Daphnia pulex: one gene and its partner. The protein of the gene in region 1 purifies or fractionates together with the protein of each later gene. This does not show direct contact. Links are inferred from orthologs where the notes say so. Each region holds a gene or a part of one and is shown on either strand. Other genes may lie near its edges.

The links.
Region 2: the proteins of T-complex protein 1 subunit gamma-like (region 1) and DDB1- and CUL4-associated factor 7 purify together in Homo sapiens (affinity purification with mass spectrometry; 4 studies listed by BioGRID and IntAct, counting the BioPlex papers as one, with this or other methods). This does not show direct contact. The link is inferred for Daphnia pulex from reciprocal best matches to the Homo sapiens genes CCT3 and DCAF7.

Annotation. Positions count from the first base shown.
Region 1 is NC_060017.1:2,679,776-2,687,155, reverse strand, and holds T-complex protein 1 subunit gamma-like, read left to right. Parts: upstream 1-2,397; 5' UTR 2,398-2,527; coding exon 2,528-2,552; intron 2,553-2,621; coding exon 2,622-2,683; intron 2,684-2,935; coding exon 2,936-3,112; intron 3,113-3,174; coding exon 3,175-3,329; intron 3,330-3,386; coding exon 3,387-3,573; intron 3,574-3,632; coding exon 3,633-3,782; intron 3,783-3,842; coding exon 3,843-4,001; intron 4,002-4,070; coding exon 4,071-4,214; intron 4,215-4,278; coding exon 4,279-4,476; intron 4,477-4,535; coding exon 4,536-4,805; intron 4,806-4,876; coding exon 4,877-4,993; 3' UTR 4,994-5,205; downstream 5,206-7,380. Other genes in the region: opsin, ultraviolet-sensitive-like, read right to left, coding at 1-102, 167-268, 330-663, 728-858, 921-1,136, 1,203-1,322, 1,390-1,449, 1,515-1,558; flocculation protein FLO11-like, read left to right, coding at 5,764-5,775, 5,876-5,986, 6,046-6,178, 6,417-7,380. UniProt on the Homo sapiens protein: Component of the chaperonin-containing T-complex (TRiC), a molecular chaperone complex that assists the folding of actin, tubulin and other proteins upon ATP hydrolysis.
Region 2 is NC_060025.1:4,762,126-4,769,305, forward strand, and holds DDB1- and CUL4-associated factor 7, read left to right. Parts: upstream 1-3,038; 5' UTR 3,039-3,238; coding exon 3,239-3,345; intron 3,346-3,432; coding exon 3,433-3,574; intron 3,575-3,636; coding exon 3,637-3,735; intron 3,736-3,797; coding exon 3,798-3,920; intron 3,921-3,985; coding exon 3,986-4,267; intron 4,268-4,335; coding exon 4,336-4,453; intron 4,454-4,563; coding exon 4,564-4,739; 3' UTR 4,740-4,966; downstream 4,967-7,180. Other genes in the region: uncharacterized protein LOC124202359, read right to left, coding at 5,064-5,261, 5,350-5,486, 5,630-5,751, 6,227-6,906, 6,990-7,180. UniProt on the Homo sapiens protein: Involved in craniofacial development. Acts upstream of the EDN1 pathway and is required for formation of the upper jaw equivalent, the palatoquadrate. The activity required for EDN1 pathway function differs between the first and second arches.

The DNA of each region.
Region 1 (7,380 bases):
ACACCAGACATTTCTGTCGTGGCCGAACCGACGCTCGAATCGTCGTTGGTAGGAACAGGCTCGTGAATGCAGAACCAGGGCATTTTCTTCTGCAGTTCCATGCTGAAAGGATGAAGAAAAATGTGGTAAGAATGACTGTCATTTCACTATGAATAAGATGTGTTACCGATAACGGGGATGGTTGATTGCATAGATCCATGGGTTGATGCAGGATACCAATTTACAACAACAGGCAGGCACCGTGCTCAGAAGTGGTGTCAGGACGGACCTGTGAAAAGATGACGATGGTGATTTATTTGAGAACAAATTTGTTGAAAGTATTATCTCACCTATTTCCAAAAGCGGCTGTGAGAGCCACAAAGGCATAAGGAGTCCAAGCGAAAACGAACAAGGTGGCGAGAGCAATTGCAACTTTAGCAATGCGAACCTCAGCTGATTTTTCATTTTGATCGCGGTTGCTGCGCAGGGAAGTAACGTTCATCTTTTTGGCCTGGTCACGGAGAGTCTTCTCGTGGTCACCAACGGATCTCACAATTTTGGAATAGTAGAAAATGAGCATTGCCAGCGGGATGACGTAGGAGTAGACGAAAATGGAGCCAACGAAGAACCTGGTCGAAGCGTCCTCCGTCATGTAGTCGAAGGTGCAAGTGGTCAGGAAACCCTCTTCAAATGTAATCAAATATTAAGAAACAAATTCCGTGCATTCTTTGATTCAGTACTAACTGACCAGGTACATATCTGCCCCAAATGCCCAAGAAAGGCATCACCGAAAAAGGTGTGGCCCAAGCCCAGATGGCCACAATCATCAAAGTAACTTGCTTGCGAGATAATTTGCCATCCAATGGACGAGAGATAGTACTGTGAAAACAACAGAATAAATTTTTTTGACTAACGATTTAACACTTTTTTAAAAAGCTTACCGGTGGCGATCGTAAGCAATAGCGGCGTTGTTCACTGCTGAACCAATTCCATTATAACTTCCCATAAGACCGAAAACGTCGCAGCCTAATTTTCCCCAGATAGGTCCTTCATTGTAGGAGTTAATGATCATAACGGGAGATTTCAACATCATGAGCATATCCAAAATCGCAAGATTGACGACCAGCATATTTGAAGGAGTCCGCAAACTCTTACAACTTTATAAGGAAACGAAAATTCTTTTAAAATAATTTTCAAAGTTATTAAATGAATTGATTAATCACTTCGTAAAGATCCAGATGACGACTCCATTTCCAGCGACGCAACAAAACATAAAAATGGTGTAGAGAAATCCAATCATGTAGAGAAGGAACGGGTTTGGGGCCTCGAAAGTCTTCCAATAGCTAAAATGGAATATGTTTCGCTCACATTACTTTCTAATCACAAAAATCTATTAAATGTGTTTATTACGGGTGAACGTAAGACATGTAGTCTTCTGGAGTATTCCATCCCAACATACGCCTTTCCGAACTGTCAATCAATTTACATGGTGTTTACTCTAGCTGCTATTGCACTTTTTTATTTGCTATACGAACCGAAACGCGTCGTAGGTGGAGACAAATGTGCTGTTTTGGGCCATTGCTAGGAAATTTGAGAAAATTGCGAGAAGTGCTAAGAAAGTTTATAAAGAAGTATAACTTTGCAGAGGCCAGCTGGTTAGCCGCTCCTCACTGAAAATTTGTAATATTTAAATACATTAAACTGATCGAATAAATTATGATAACTCTGAATACCTTGGTTCTTTTTCAGTAGCTGAACAGACTTCAGTCAATTGCGAATCTTTGGACATCAGGACGTTGCTTTTATACCACAACTTCATGTTTAATCCAGTTATCAAAGGGTATTCGCCTCGACGACTGTGTATTAAACAGAAGCTGTAAATGTGTATTCGTAGATGCATTGAAATCAAAATCCACGTAATTGGCTTATCAATTGTATCGAAAACCCAATTCTGTGATTTTACCACAAGACTCACAAAGATTTATAAATAAGATTAAACAGATGCAGACAGCGCTGTGTATTGTATATTAGAAGACTTCAGCCCTCATTTGGATCACCGTAGCAGAGGTATATGCCACTATCGCGCGTCAGCATTCGAAAGTGCATGGGATTTACAGTACATCGGGATCGGATAAAGTATCGTACACGGAAGTTACTTCCGCAATCAATCGCAACTATTATTAATATATTAATCTAATTTCGGCAAAATAACCCTACCTACGTCTTCGTCATTTGACATTTCATTCAAGATTTCATTATTTTCATACCATTGTACACAAAATTGCTGTATTTTTAACCTTGTATTTTTAATATCATTGATTTTTTGTTGTTGACGCGATATTTACAGCAAAATTCTTTAATTTGATCTTGATTAAAACAAAATTAAAGTTACTTAAAAAAAATAGATCGGAGCCGCGGAGCGCGGACGTGAGGGGCGTGACTGGGTTGCCTTATTTGGGTATTTGGCAACGTTGTGGAAAGGGAATGGTTAAAGCAAGAGCAGGTCTCAACGTGACTTCGACTTTTTACAGTAGCCCACGAAATCGAAATGTCCGGACCGATTATTGTTCTTAGTAAGTACTGTAATTTAGAAATAGTCTAAAATTGAAGTTAAATAACGTATTGTACTTACTTTGTTAAAGGCCAGAATACCAAGAGGGAGAGTGGAAAGAAGGTTCAGATAGATAATATCACAGCCGGCAAGGTAGGCCCATTACCGCATGGAACTTGTCAAAAATTTGTTTTAAGATTTAATTGTCGATATTCATTATGTTCTTTAAACTTTTTCACATTTTGACGTAAAGTTTTTAGTTTGCAAGTAGAGATACTGTTGGTATGAGAAGGGAAACTATTTTGACATATTCAATGCATTTTTCCTGTCAGTTTCCTTTGTTACGACATTTTTACTTCAACCAAATCTTGTTTAACAGTGTTATACTTAAATTGATTTTCTTAGACTGTGGCAGATGTCATTCGAACATGTCTTGGACCACGAGCAATGCTGAAAATGCTGATGGATCCTATGGGTGGTATTGTTTTAACTAATGATGGTAATGCCATTCTTAGAGAAATCACTGTCCAGCACCCAGCTGCTAAGTCTATGATTGAGATCTCTCGCACTCAGGATGAGGAGGTACCTAATTAACCTACCTGAAAGGCAGTATTTTTCTAGATGTTAAAATGTTTTATTCTTAGGTTGGAGATGGTACTACATCAGTTATTATTCTAGCTGGAGAAGTTCTTGCTGTTTCAGAACCCTTCTTGCAGCAACAAATGCATCCTACTTTAATCATTTCTGCCTACCGTCAAGCCTTGGAAGATGCTGTTACAGTTCTAAGGGATCAAATCAGGTATGATATCACTGGTTGTAAATATTAGGCTATTTTATTGAACAATTTTTTATTTAGCACGCCTGTGGATGTCAATGATCGGTCTCAGTTGTTGTCCATCATCAAATCATGCCTAGGAACTAAATTTATTAATCGCTGGTCTGAGCAAGCTTGTCAAATTGCTCTCGATGCCGTGAGCACAGTCGTAGTTGACGAGAATGGACGTCGGGAAATCGATATCAAGCGATACGCTAAAGTTGAAAAGGTCAGTTACAAACTATTTGTGTCGACGCATCTTCAAAACTAATTTTTTTAAATATTTAGGTTCCTGGAGGTACCATGGAAGATTCTTGCGTTTTGCGGGGAGTTATGTTGAACAAGGATGTTACTCACCCAAAAATGCGTCGTCATATCGTTAAACCACGCATATTATTGCTAGATTGCAACTTGGAATACAAGAAAGGAGAAAGTCAGGTATTGACTAAACCAAGATGTCTTAACTTGAAAACATTATTTTGAAACATTATTTGTTAGACAAACATCGAGATCATGAAAGAAGAAGATTTCACTCGTATTCTAGAACTTGAGGAAGAGTATGTCCAAAAAACATGCGAAGATATCATCCGAGTAAAGCCTGATGTCGTTTTCACTGAAAAGGGTGTATCAGATTTGGCTCAGCATTACCTGGTCAAGGTAATTTTGTTTTCTCTGATCCTTTTTGGTTGATAGTACTTCAAAATTGGATTTAAATTTTCAATGAAGGCCGGTATCACTGCTATCCGTCGCGTGAGGAAATCGGACAACAACCGTATTGCTCGTGCCTCTGGAGCTACAATTGTTAACCGTACTGATGAAATTCGCGAGGAAGACATCGGCACAAAAGCTGGTCTTTTTGAAATTAAAAAGGTAAACCTAAAATTTAAAAGTGACTTATCGACACTTATTTGACATACGTTTTCTTTATAAATAGATTGGCGATGAGTACTTCTGCTTTGTGGTCGAGTGCGAAGATCCCAAAGCTTGCACGATTCTTCTACGTGGAGCTTCAAAAGACGTTCTGAATGAAGTGGAGCGAAATTTGCAAGACGCCATGAACGTTACCCGAAATGTTCTTTTGGAACCTAAACTTGTTCCTGGAGGCGGTGCTTCTGAGATGGCTTTGGCATACGTATGTCAATTCTTTATTTCAGAATAGTATGTGTTTATTCAATTGATTTTACTGTATAGGCTCTGGCTGAGAAAGCAAAGAGTTTGACTGGTGTAACTCAGGCGCCTTACCGAGCAATTGCTCAAGCCCTCGAAGTGATTCCTAGAACTCTGGCACAAAACTGTGGTGCTACCGTCATTCGAACTCTGACTGCTCTGCGAGCCAAACATGCTACTGGCGAATCAACTTGGGGTATCAATGGCGAAACCGGTGAACTGGCTGATATGAAGGATCTAGGAATTTGGGATCCTCTTGCCGTTAAACTTCAAGTCCTTAAGACAGCTGTTGAGGTTAGTTAGTTTCAGACTTGCACACTATTACTATTGTACACAAATATTTACCAATTCTTTGTTTGTTTTAGACTGCAATTCTGCTTTTGCGTATCGACGACATCGTTTCGGGATCCAAAAAGAAGGGTGCTGATAGTTCAGCTCCTGCCCCCGGCGCCGCAGCTGATCAAGAGGCCATGCGTGAATAAGAAGCCAACATGATCCCGTGATCTTGTGGAACTCTCATGGCGAACGATAATAATAATACAATGGCTTCAATCATTCACGCTTCTGCTATGCGACTAACGTTTGGCTACATTTCGTTCTTGTCAACTTCCTGAGTAATTAATTGATCTTCTGTTGGCATAGTATGTCACGCTTGCATCATCTTCGTGAACAAAATACACCATTTTTGCTCATAGTAGATTTCGTATACGAAATAAACAATTAGCTTTGAAGTGAATTGAATGCTAGATTTGTTAGACCGTATATGTTGAACAAGGAAACATGCAATATGGCCTGAAAAGATGTCCCGTGTCCGAATATTTTGCAGTGTAAGTTAAAAGATAGCGTAGTAGTGGATTAAAAGCAGATTTCAAAGCACGTTGTTCTAGAGGGAAACGCGCGCAGCAAGGCGTGCACGTCGTTTTCGATAGAACATTCGCGAACCACCAAGGAAGACACCAAGTAAGGTAGCTTTCGTAGAATCGGCAATCACCACTCTTTAGTTAATTAAAAATGAAATATTTGTAGATAAAAATTTTTTAGATAATATGAAATAAAAGCTGAAAGGTTACAAACTTGCGATTTACGAATTAAAAACGAAAGACATTTTTTTTAAAGGTTGAATATTGCCAGTATGGCAACGTTTTGCTGAACCAAACAAAAACGTTACTTTACGAATTTGTCGTCTGAAGTCTAATGCGACGACCGGTCACAACTAATGATCAGCCTGTAGAAGCAGAATTTAGAATTTCTGATGGCGACAAACGTAAGATTTGTTTGAATTAATCAATTTTTTCCTTAACGTTCTATTGAAATGCCAATCCAAATCTTTTACGAAATCATTACCTCTTTATCTACCAATGCAGGTTAGCTTACCGGCTGTGTGCCCCTCGTGTGCTGCCGGCGGAATTCGTTCATCAGTGAAGCTGTACCAGATAAATCTGGAACAAGCTGCTGTTTTCTGTGAAAATACCTCAGTAAAGTCTTTATTTCATTTGTTAGCTATATGTACTAATGTATTATTTATGTTTTCCAGTGTCCCTTTCCACTGTTTTCACAGGATGTCTGCCCGTTAGTAGTGTCACATGTTGCAGCACCCATACCAGCTGCAAACTCTAAATTCAAAACAAGAAGCATGGATACAGAATCTATGACGTCAAGTTGCTCTGGTTAGTAATAAAAGAATTTTTTCAACTACTTCAACATTTGTAGAATTAGGAAGTGAATAAGAATTTCTTTGTAATTTTTTAATTTAAAGACAAATTTTCACCAACATTGTTGTGGAATGTAAATTTAAAAAATACTAAAATAATCTCTGGTTGCTTTGTTGTTTACCTAACCTTTTTGATTAATATGTTACTTTTAGAATTGCCAAAAATAATTATTGGAATTATACATTTTTTCCAGTTTCCTCTTGGGCGTCACATGGAAGTACTATAAGCAGTCTCTCAAGCAATGTAGCTACTCCACCACCATCAATAAGCAGCAAGCCCTTTACCTGGCCATCGAGTCAATATTCAGTTTACCAACCTAAAGCAACCATGGCTCCAAAGCAAAATAATGTTTTTGATTGGATAACTCCAATTTCTTCATCTCAGTCCAGTCCTGCGTCTTCCGTATTCAGCGTCAATGACAGAGAAGTGGAGATGGTAATGGACAAGTCAGCATGTCCTACTCCTAATTCTGGACTAACCCCAAGCCCAAGCCCTACTTTATCAGATATTTTGGAAGCTGTGGGAAGCCAACCATCAGATAACAATGATTCCTACATTGAGTCACTGTGCTCATTCTTTGATGAAGTGAGCGAGGCACCAACCCCCACCATCAACTCTCCTGCCAACGAGGAAACAACTTACACGGTGACAGAATTAGTCGGTGTGCAAAGTGCTACGGTTACGGATCTGCTGAGTCAGCAACTTCAAGAAGCTGCAACCCCAGTTCGTCAATCAACAAAACGAGTGAATGAAGGGAGTGATTTAGACGAATCTAACTCTCAATCGTTGGATTCAACCTCACCAGCCGTGGCTGCATGGAAAAACATTGAACTTCCGAAAAAGAAATCGTCAGTTATTCCGAAAAAGAAATCGTCAGTAATTCCGAAGAAACCTCAAACACCTCGAGTGAGAAAACCCCGCGCCAGATCTGGTTTAACTAGTTCAGACGAAAGCACATCTTCCTCAACACCTACTCCACAATCGCTTGTTTCTCAGCCTCAAGTAGCTGTAGCCGTGAATGAAGAAGGAACTACTGTCTTTACTATTAACTCCCTCGCACTCCCTTCAACGCCCCGACCACCATCATCCGCAAAGAAAGTAAAAGCCACCGATAGCCGTTCTCGCAGTCGTCGTCCTAGTAAATCTAGCAATCCTCC
Region 2 (7,180 bases), on another chromosome or scaffold:
GATAATAAACAAGAATTAATCTCTCTTTGTTCTTTTCTTTAATGTTCTGTTTTAATTGTCATTTTCCTTGTCTGATAATAAACAAGAATTAAACATTTACTATTCAATCATTACAAGGTTAGGATTAGTGAAGCGTATGTACTTGTCAATTAAAGCTACTGAAATGCTGGCCAACACAACACAGGCACAGACAAATCAGTGGCCTTCACTTTTAGTACTTTGTGAACAAATTGAGATGATTAAGATTTGGAATGAGAAGACAATGTCAATAGCTACGGAAGAAGCCAATAATCTTTAACAGATAGGCTTCAGATAATTCAAAATTTCTAACCTGATTTTAGATAGAAGCAATTGTCTCATCTTTGAGTTCAATGTTGGTCTGCTGATTCTTGTCCATATGGACCTTGATCGCTAGGTTGCCAAGTGAGTTCTTTGTTGGAGATTGAGGCATTGAGCAGGCCCTCGGGGGATTTTGTCTGGGATTCCCAAATGCTTTTACTTATTTAATGAAAAAGTATTATAAAAATGAATTGATTAATGATTTTTATTTTAAATTAAAAAAAGATGTGATTAATAAACATATTCAAATCAAAACTATGTGTTATAAATTTATTTAACACACCTGTGCATTGTTTGGGAAAAACTACCTTGTGCATAAGTGCATTATTGTCTGATCATTGTCTGTGTGTGTAGTCTGCTAATCCTGTTTGAAATTGACTTGACTGGCTTGACTGTTCATGTTTTCGTGCATGTTAGTAGATTTCTGTATGTTTCAAATATTCTAAACTATGTAAAGTTTTTGATGATTAGACGTATAATTCAATCTTTAGTTTCTAGCCTCAATAAATTTTCTATTCATGAGGAAATGTCGTTTTACGCAGTTGCCAGGGGAAGGAGAGTGGGCATCTATCCGAGTTTGTATATTAAGTTATCACGTAATAAGAAATTTTCAGTAAAAAGGGAAAACATTTTTCAGGGCTGAATGTCAATCTCAAATACAATGCTACCCTGGTGCACAGTCCTTCCCCACAAGCTGCAAGCTGAAGGTTTCATCCAACAATGTAACTCAAGCATGACACTCAAGAAATACTGCCAGTTAAACCCAGGGCATCCTAACTTCCAAAGATTTCTGATGGTTTGAAGAAATTTGAAATCTCATTTTCTGTAAGTGGAAGTCAATCTCCTACTGCAAAAGCATTTACTTCTGGATCTCAGTTAAAGTATTATTATGCTGTAGCCATTGGTAAAATGTTGGCATTTATTCTGCTTGGTAGGAAAATGATTAAAATCATTGGGATTTGAAAAATAATTTATACAACTCTTTTTTTTTCAAATTACAGGGCAGAGTACAAGGCGCAGTTAGATGGTTGTGGATTTACCAGATATAGAAAGTTTTAAATGCACAGAAAGAAGCTGAACAGTTCATTCATGGAAATCAAATTCAAAAGGGAGTCAGAGCCTCCAATTCTCAATATAGAAAATCTCTATTTTCAATTGAGTAATATTCCTGCCATTCCTAGTATTAAAGGCATTTGTGTTCAAAATTTATCGTCAGTTTCTTTTGGATACCATACTATCCAACAAGATGAAGATGGCTTCATATACCCATCGCTCAATCAATCTACAAATCCATACTTTGATTTTCCTACGGCGCTATCTCCAAGAAGAATTATTTTTACCGCCAAATCATTTGATTTACCAGTGGCTTCATAATCTATACCAATGTTGCTATCACACATGATTTCCATCGCGAATACAAATTGTTAATCCAAACCAACGATTTTGAAAAAACTTTTCCTGTGTTTACTTTCCACATTGCCATAGCAACATGTCCTTTAACAATAGCGCCAAACCGTTTTCCGTGTAAAAGAAGGAAATGTCTTGCGGCTGTGCGCGTCATTCCGATCATTCATTAACAATAATTATTTTTTTCCTGGAGCTAGCATTTGCTACATTGCAGACGTTTTTTAAAATATAAATTGATTAAATGAAAAGACGAGCGATTGGGGTCGTTACTGTAGTAGTAGGCCTTGTCGAGTGGCAAAATAATTCAACTGCGATTTCCATACATTTAATCCCACTAGATTGAGGGAGTTTTTTTTTTATGTATTATACTATGAGAAGTCTCATGTATGTGTACTAAATAATATGATACATTGGGACTGAGAGACAAGTTTACACATTTTCTTTCACATTTGCAACACCAACTCCAACCATAAGGCCAACAACTGTAAATCCTTGTGCTGCAATCCTGAGCCTCATCATTTTTTGTGACATTTGGGGTCTCCTAATGAATCAATTCAAACAATTACAGATTTAAAAAAAATATATTATGGTCAATAACCACACAACAATCAATTTGTAAAGTTATACCCATGACGAAAGGACCACAGGCCATATGTCAATGCAGCTGCAGTTGCTAGACACCCAATAGGAACAAAAGGATTTTCAGAAAATTTTCTGTTGAATTTTTCTTTGAATGTCTCCTGGTTCTTCAAACTTTCTGATCCAATTTCCTCTCTTAACTGAATCCAGTTTAATTCTTCAGCATTTAAAGACTCAATTTCATTGTTTATTTTGCTTGATGTTTCCATTTCTCTGTACACAATCAAAGAGGAATTGTTAATAGTGTAATATAAATTGTTGAAGCAATGTACACATAACTGATCATGAATGCCAAAATATTTTAGATTTCTAAATATTTTGATAATTCACCAATTCGGTCATGAGAAGTCGATTGTGTTTATTAAATTAAAAAGGAATAATAACATACGGAGTATGATGTTTCGTTCGTTCTATAGTATCGCAATTACTTTAAATCTAAAAGTATTAAGACCGAGACTGAAAAGTTGTCAAGAAATTCCGAGTTATTACATAACAATATTCACAAATTGTAGTTGCGACGTTACTACTTGAAGGTTGAACGGTTGAACGTTGAAGCACTGCAGCGATCGGTAGCAGACAATATTTAGCGGTGGTGGCGCTCTTCTTCAAAATATCGTATCTATTTTGCCTGTATTTGATTTTGACTCTGACTTTCGTTTCAGACTTCTACCGCTTGGTGTACAGCTTCAGTGTGAGAAAATTTAATGGTTGTCTTGTCTGGCCTAAGTTAATAGATAGGTTTATTTGTTTGCGTGGGTCCACTGTCATTCCGGTTAAAATTGCCAACATAAGAAATTCTAACACTTCTGCATATTTGATCACGATTCCCGGGAATTGTGTCGTTTTCTAAAAAATGGCGGGGCTAAATGTTGCTCCCAAACGAAAGGAAATTTACAAGTACGAAGCACCATGGACTCTTTACAGTATGAATTGGTCAGTGCGTCCAGATAAGAGATTCAGGTGAGGGAGGAAGTTTAAAATTATGTATTTTATGTTTAAGAAATGTAATATTCAACTTGACTAACCTCAAATTCCTTTACAAATTAGATTGGCTATTGGAAGTTTTGTAGAAGAATACAACAACAAAGTTCAAGTAATTTCATTAGATGAAGATTCAGCAGAATTCAGTGCCAAAAGTACTTTTGATCATCCATATCCTACTACAAAAATTATGTGGATTCCTGATGCGGTATGGAACTATCCTGTTTCAAATATGGTTAAAGAAATGTTAATAATTAAGTGTGTTATCAGAAAGGTGTTTTTCCTGATTTACTGGCTACAAGTGGGGACTATCTACGCATATGGAAAGCAGGAGAACCAGACACAAGATTAGAATGCCTCCTTAACAATGTAATTTTTACATGAATTATTATTATTTACAAGAAATTTAATTCATTGAAAACAATTTCTAGAACAAAAACTCAGACTTCTGTGCTCCTCTTACAAGTTTTGATTGGAATGAAGTTGAACCTAACCTTATTGGAACATCTAGTATTGACACCACATGTACCATATGGGGTTTGGAAACTGGACAGGTAAAGCAATATCTTTAAAACTTCTTTAAATCTTATTATTCTATAACAAACTATTTATCTTAAAGGTTGTTGGTCGAGTTGGTGGCCCTGGTGTAGCAGGACACGTAAAAACTCAGTTAATCGCACATGATAAAGAGGTCTATGATATCGCATTCAGCCGGGCAGGAGGCGGGCGAGATATGTTTGCATCTGTTGGCGCTGATGGCTCCGTGAGAATGTTTGACCTTAGACACCTAGAACATTCAACAATCATATATGAAGATCCTCAGCATCGTCCTCTGTTAAGACTAGCATGGAATAGACAGGACCCTTCTTATTTAGCAACGATATCCATGGATGCTTGTGAAGTATTTTCGGTTTTTCACCTCATTTCAAATAGAGAACACGTTACAAATTTCTTTGTTACAAATGTTAGGTGGTAATACTCGATGTAAGAGTGCCGTGTACTCCCGTCGCTCGTTTGAGTAATCACAGGGCATGTGTAAATGGCATCGCTTGGGCCCCACATTCTTCCTGTCATATTTGCACAGCTGGTAAATATTTTTTATTTGTAACTAGAATTGTGCAAGTACCGTGTGCACGATGTATGCTGCCAATTGCTGTATATAATTGATCCGATTTGATCTGGTTTGTAATAATTTAGGTGATGACCATCAAGCCTTGATATGGGATATCCAGCAAATGCCGCGAGCCATTGAAGATCCCATACTTGCTTACACAGCGGCTGAAGGTGAAATCAACCAAATCCAGTGGGGAGCAACACAACCTGATTGGATTGCCATTTGCTACAATCGATCCCTTGAAATTTTACGAGTTTAATGCTTTAATACCTATATATATCAAAACTGAGTATGACTAATGTCTGAAAACTTCTCATCAGGTTATCTTAGATCGTGTTTTTTTAATAATTCGTATCCTCTCGTGAATCGGATCGTTGATTTGTAATTAAAATAAGGAAAATATCATAAGAATGTGACATTTGAGATTTTGAATTTGTCTGTACTACTAAGCAAAAACTTGGAAAAGAATGACTGAATTTGAATCAACAACATTGTTTTATTAGCTTTCTATCACAGCACTCGGATTCTGTATAAGATCAGCAGGTATTAACATCATATATATTTTTATGTTTCTCTTTAAAATTCAATTTGAGACTGCTAAGTGGTTGGTTTGATTACTTGAAATGCTTTTGTAAGCTGTTGGATTCGAAAGTTGCATAGTTTCTCGTAGCCGCTCGTTAAGTAGTTGGTATCTCTCGCGAATCTGCATTTCGTGATTTTTCTCTTCACGTTCCAAAACCTTAAGGAAACTTGATAGTTCAGCCACTGTAAATTCCTCCCACTGAAATATAGAAAGAAGAAAAAATGGGTGCGCTTATAGTTTAGCGATGGAATATGTCGAAAATTAGAGCCCCGCAATGGTATTTTACCGGAATGTCTCCATTTTGGCTTTCTTGAAGGATTAGAGTTTTGGCACAGCTAGAGGCATCGAGATTGGTATCATCGGCCTGCCAATGTTGGGCAAGTAGAAGCGGACAATCGAAATCATTCAAGCGACGAAGTCGAGCTAAATAATAGCAAATACAACATGATTTGGTATTCTGGAATTTAGTACGATCGAGTCCGACTCGTTTGAGAGAGGGAAGGTAAAAAGTATGACGAAAGAAGGATTCAAACAGATAACGAACGAACGCAAGTATGACTACGTACCTCGACTGGTTTTTCCCGGTTGCCAGCTTTTTTCATAGATGGCCAGTTTTTTTGGTTCCCAACCTGAAAGATGAGGATGGGCTTCTACGATTTGTTGTACCAGTTCGATGCACGCAATATCTCTGAAACGGGGATAAGGAGTTACAAAAGCATGTGTAAGAACGTTGACTCTGTGGGCACCCTCGTTTTAAAATTCAAACTCCCCAAGGAAATCAATACAAAAAGGACCCTGAAAAACTAGAGGCTATGACGAGAATATTGATGGAGTCTAGTTCGATCCACCTACAAATGGTAAAGAAATCGATGCAGGAGTACAAAGAATTCGCGGAAATAGGAAGAAAATTTCAACCTATTCGAGGCAGGTGCCAATTGACTAGCGTAACGAAGTAGTTCACCTCAAGAAATCGTTCTCGATTTGACCAGATTCTGTAAAGCCTCGAGAACGTGACGCTCGTCTGAGCCGACGATGTGATGATTTAGATTTACAGTGTAGCTCCCCCTCTAGCCATTTTCTAGAGACCGGTTGTATCCGGTTTGATGAAAACCGGACATTGGTTACGACTTACGAATGGTTATTTGAGACGAACGCACTTTTACCTCGGAAATGAAGTCTGGGGGCCGGGGCTTCCGTCTTGAAATACAAGAGCATACATTTGTCGCTCACGAACCACCGCGTTGTCAGAAACACCCGCAGCGATGTCATAGGTCGGACGAGGGATAGGACGGAAATCAATAAATGAGGGTAACTTGTTTTTTTGTCGGCAAAAGAAGTGCAAGTAAATTCGAATCGTTTCTGACGACGACTCGGTAGCAGCTAGAAATGAATCTTCCTCGGTTGGACGCATTTCTCCGAGGGACGAAGTTCCGGAATCGTTCAGGACGGATTGGTTATTATTAACGGCCTTGCTTTCAAATGACTGCTGGCTGGAGGAGGCGTCGCTCATCAAGTCGCAAGAATCGGCTTCAAACATCCAACGAAGAGTCACTTCATAAAGGCTTGAAAACCTCCAATCATCGTTTGAATCTTCGGGGACCACCAGATGACCGCCCGCCGTTGTGATGGCGACCGATGCAGTTGAGGGCTCAGCTATTCTTTTGATCGCAGACGGTGAACTGGAAGCAGAGGCATAGCCGCTGCTACGACGTGATCTCTGACCATTGATTCCAGTCACAATTCGAGTTTCGTCGATGTGCAGGATATCCACCATTTTGCCCACAGCGCAGTCCAGTAGAACATCTTCTTCGATGACCGTTTCTACTGGAATGCTAGCGACTCCCTTGATTTTAAATAAACGACAAAAGAAACTCCGATAAGTCATTATAGATTATACATTAGATTGCTGTGATAAGCGTGTTGTACCATGGGACTTATGGATGTTGCGCATTTCTTTCTGGGTCGTAGGAAGATCCATTTATCCTTGTCGACTTGAATCACGCGGCCGCTCCCGTCATCGGTAGCGACAGTGGATGGATTAACAGTTTCGGGAGCGATGTCGGCGATCCAGCCTCTTCGTTTGGCCCAAGTCGGCCACTGATGTTGGGCAAACTCTT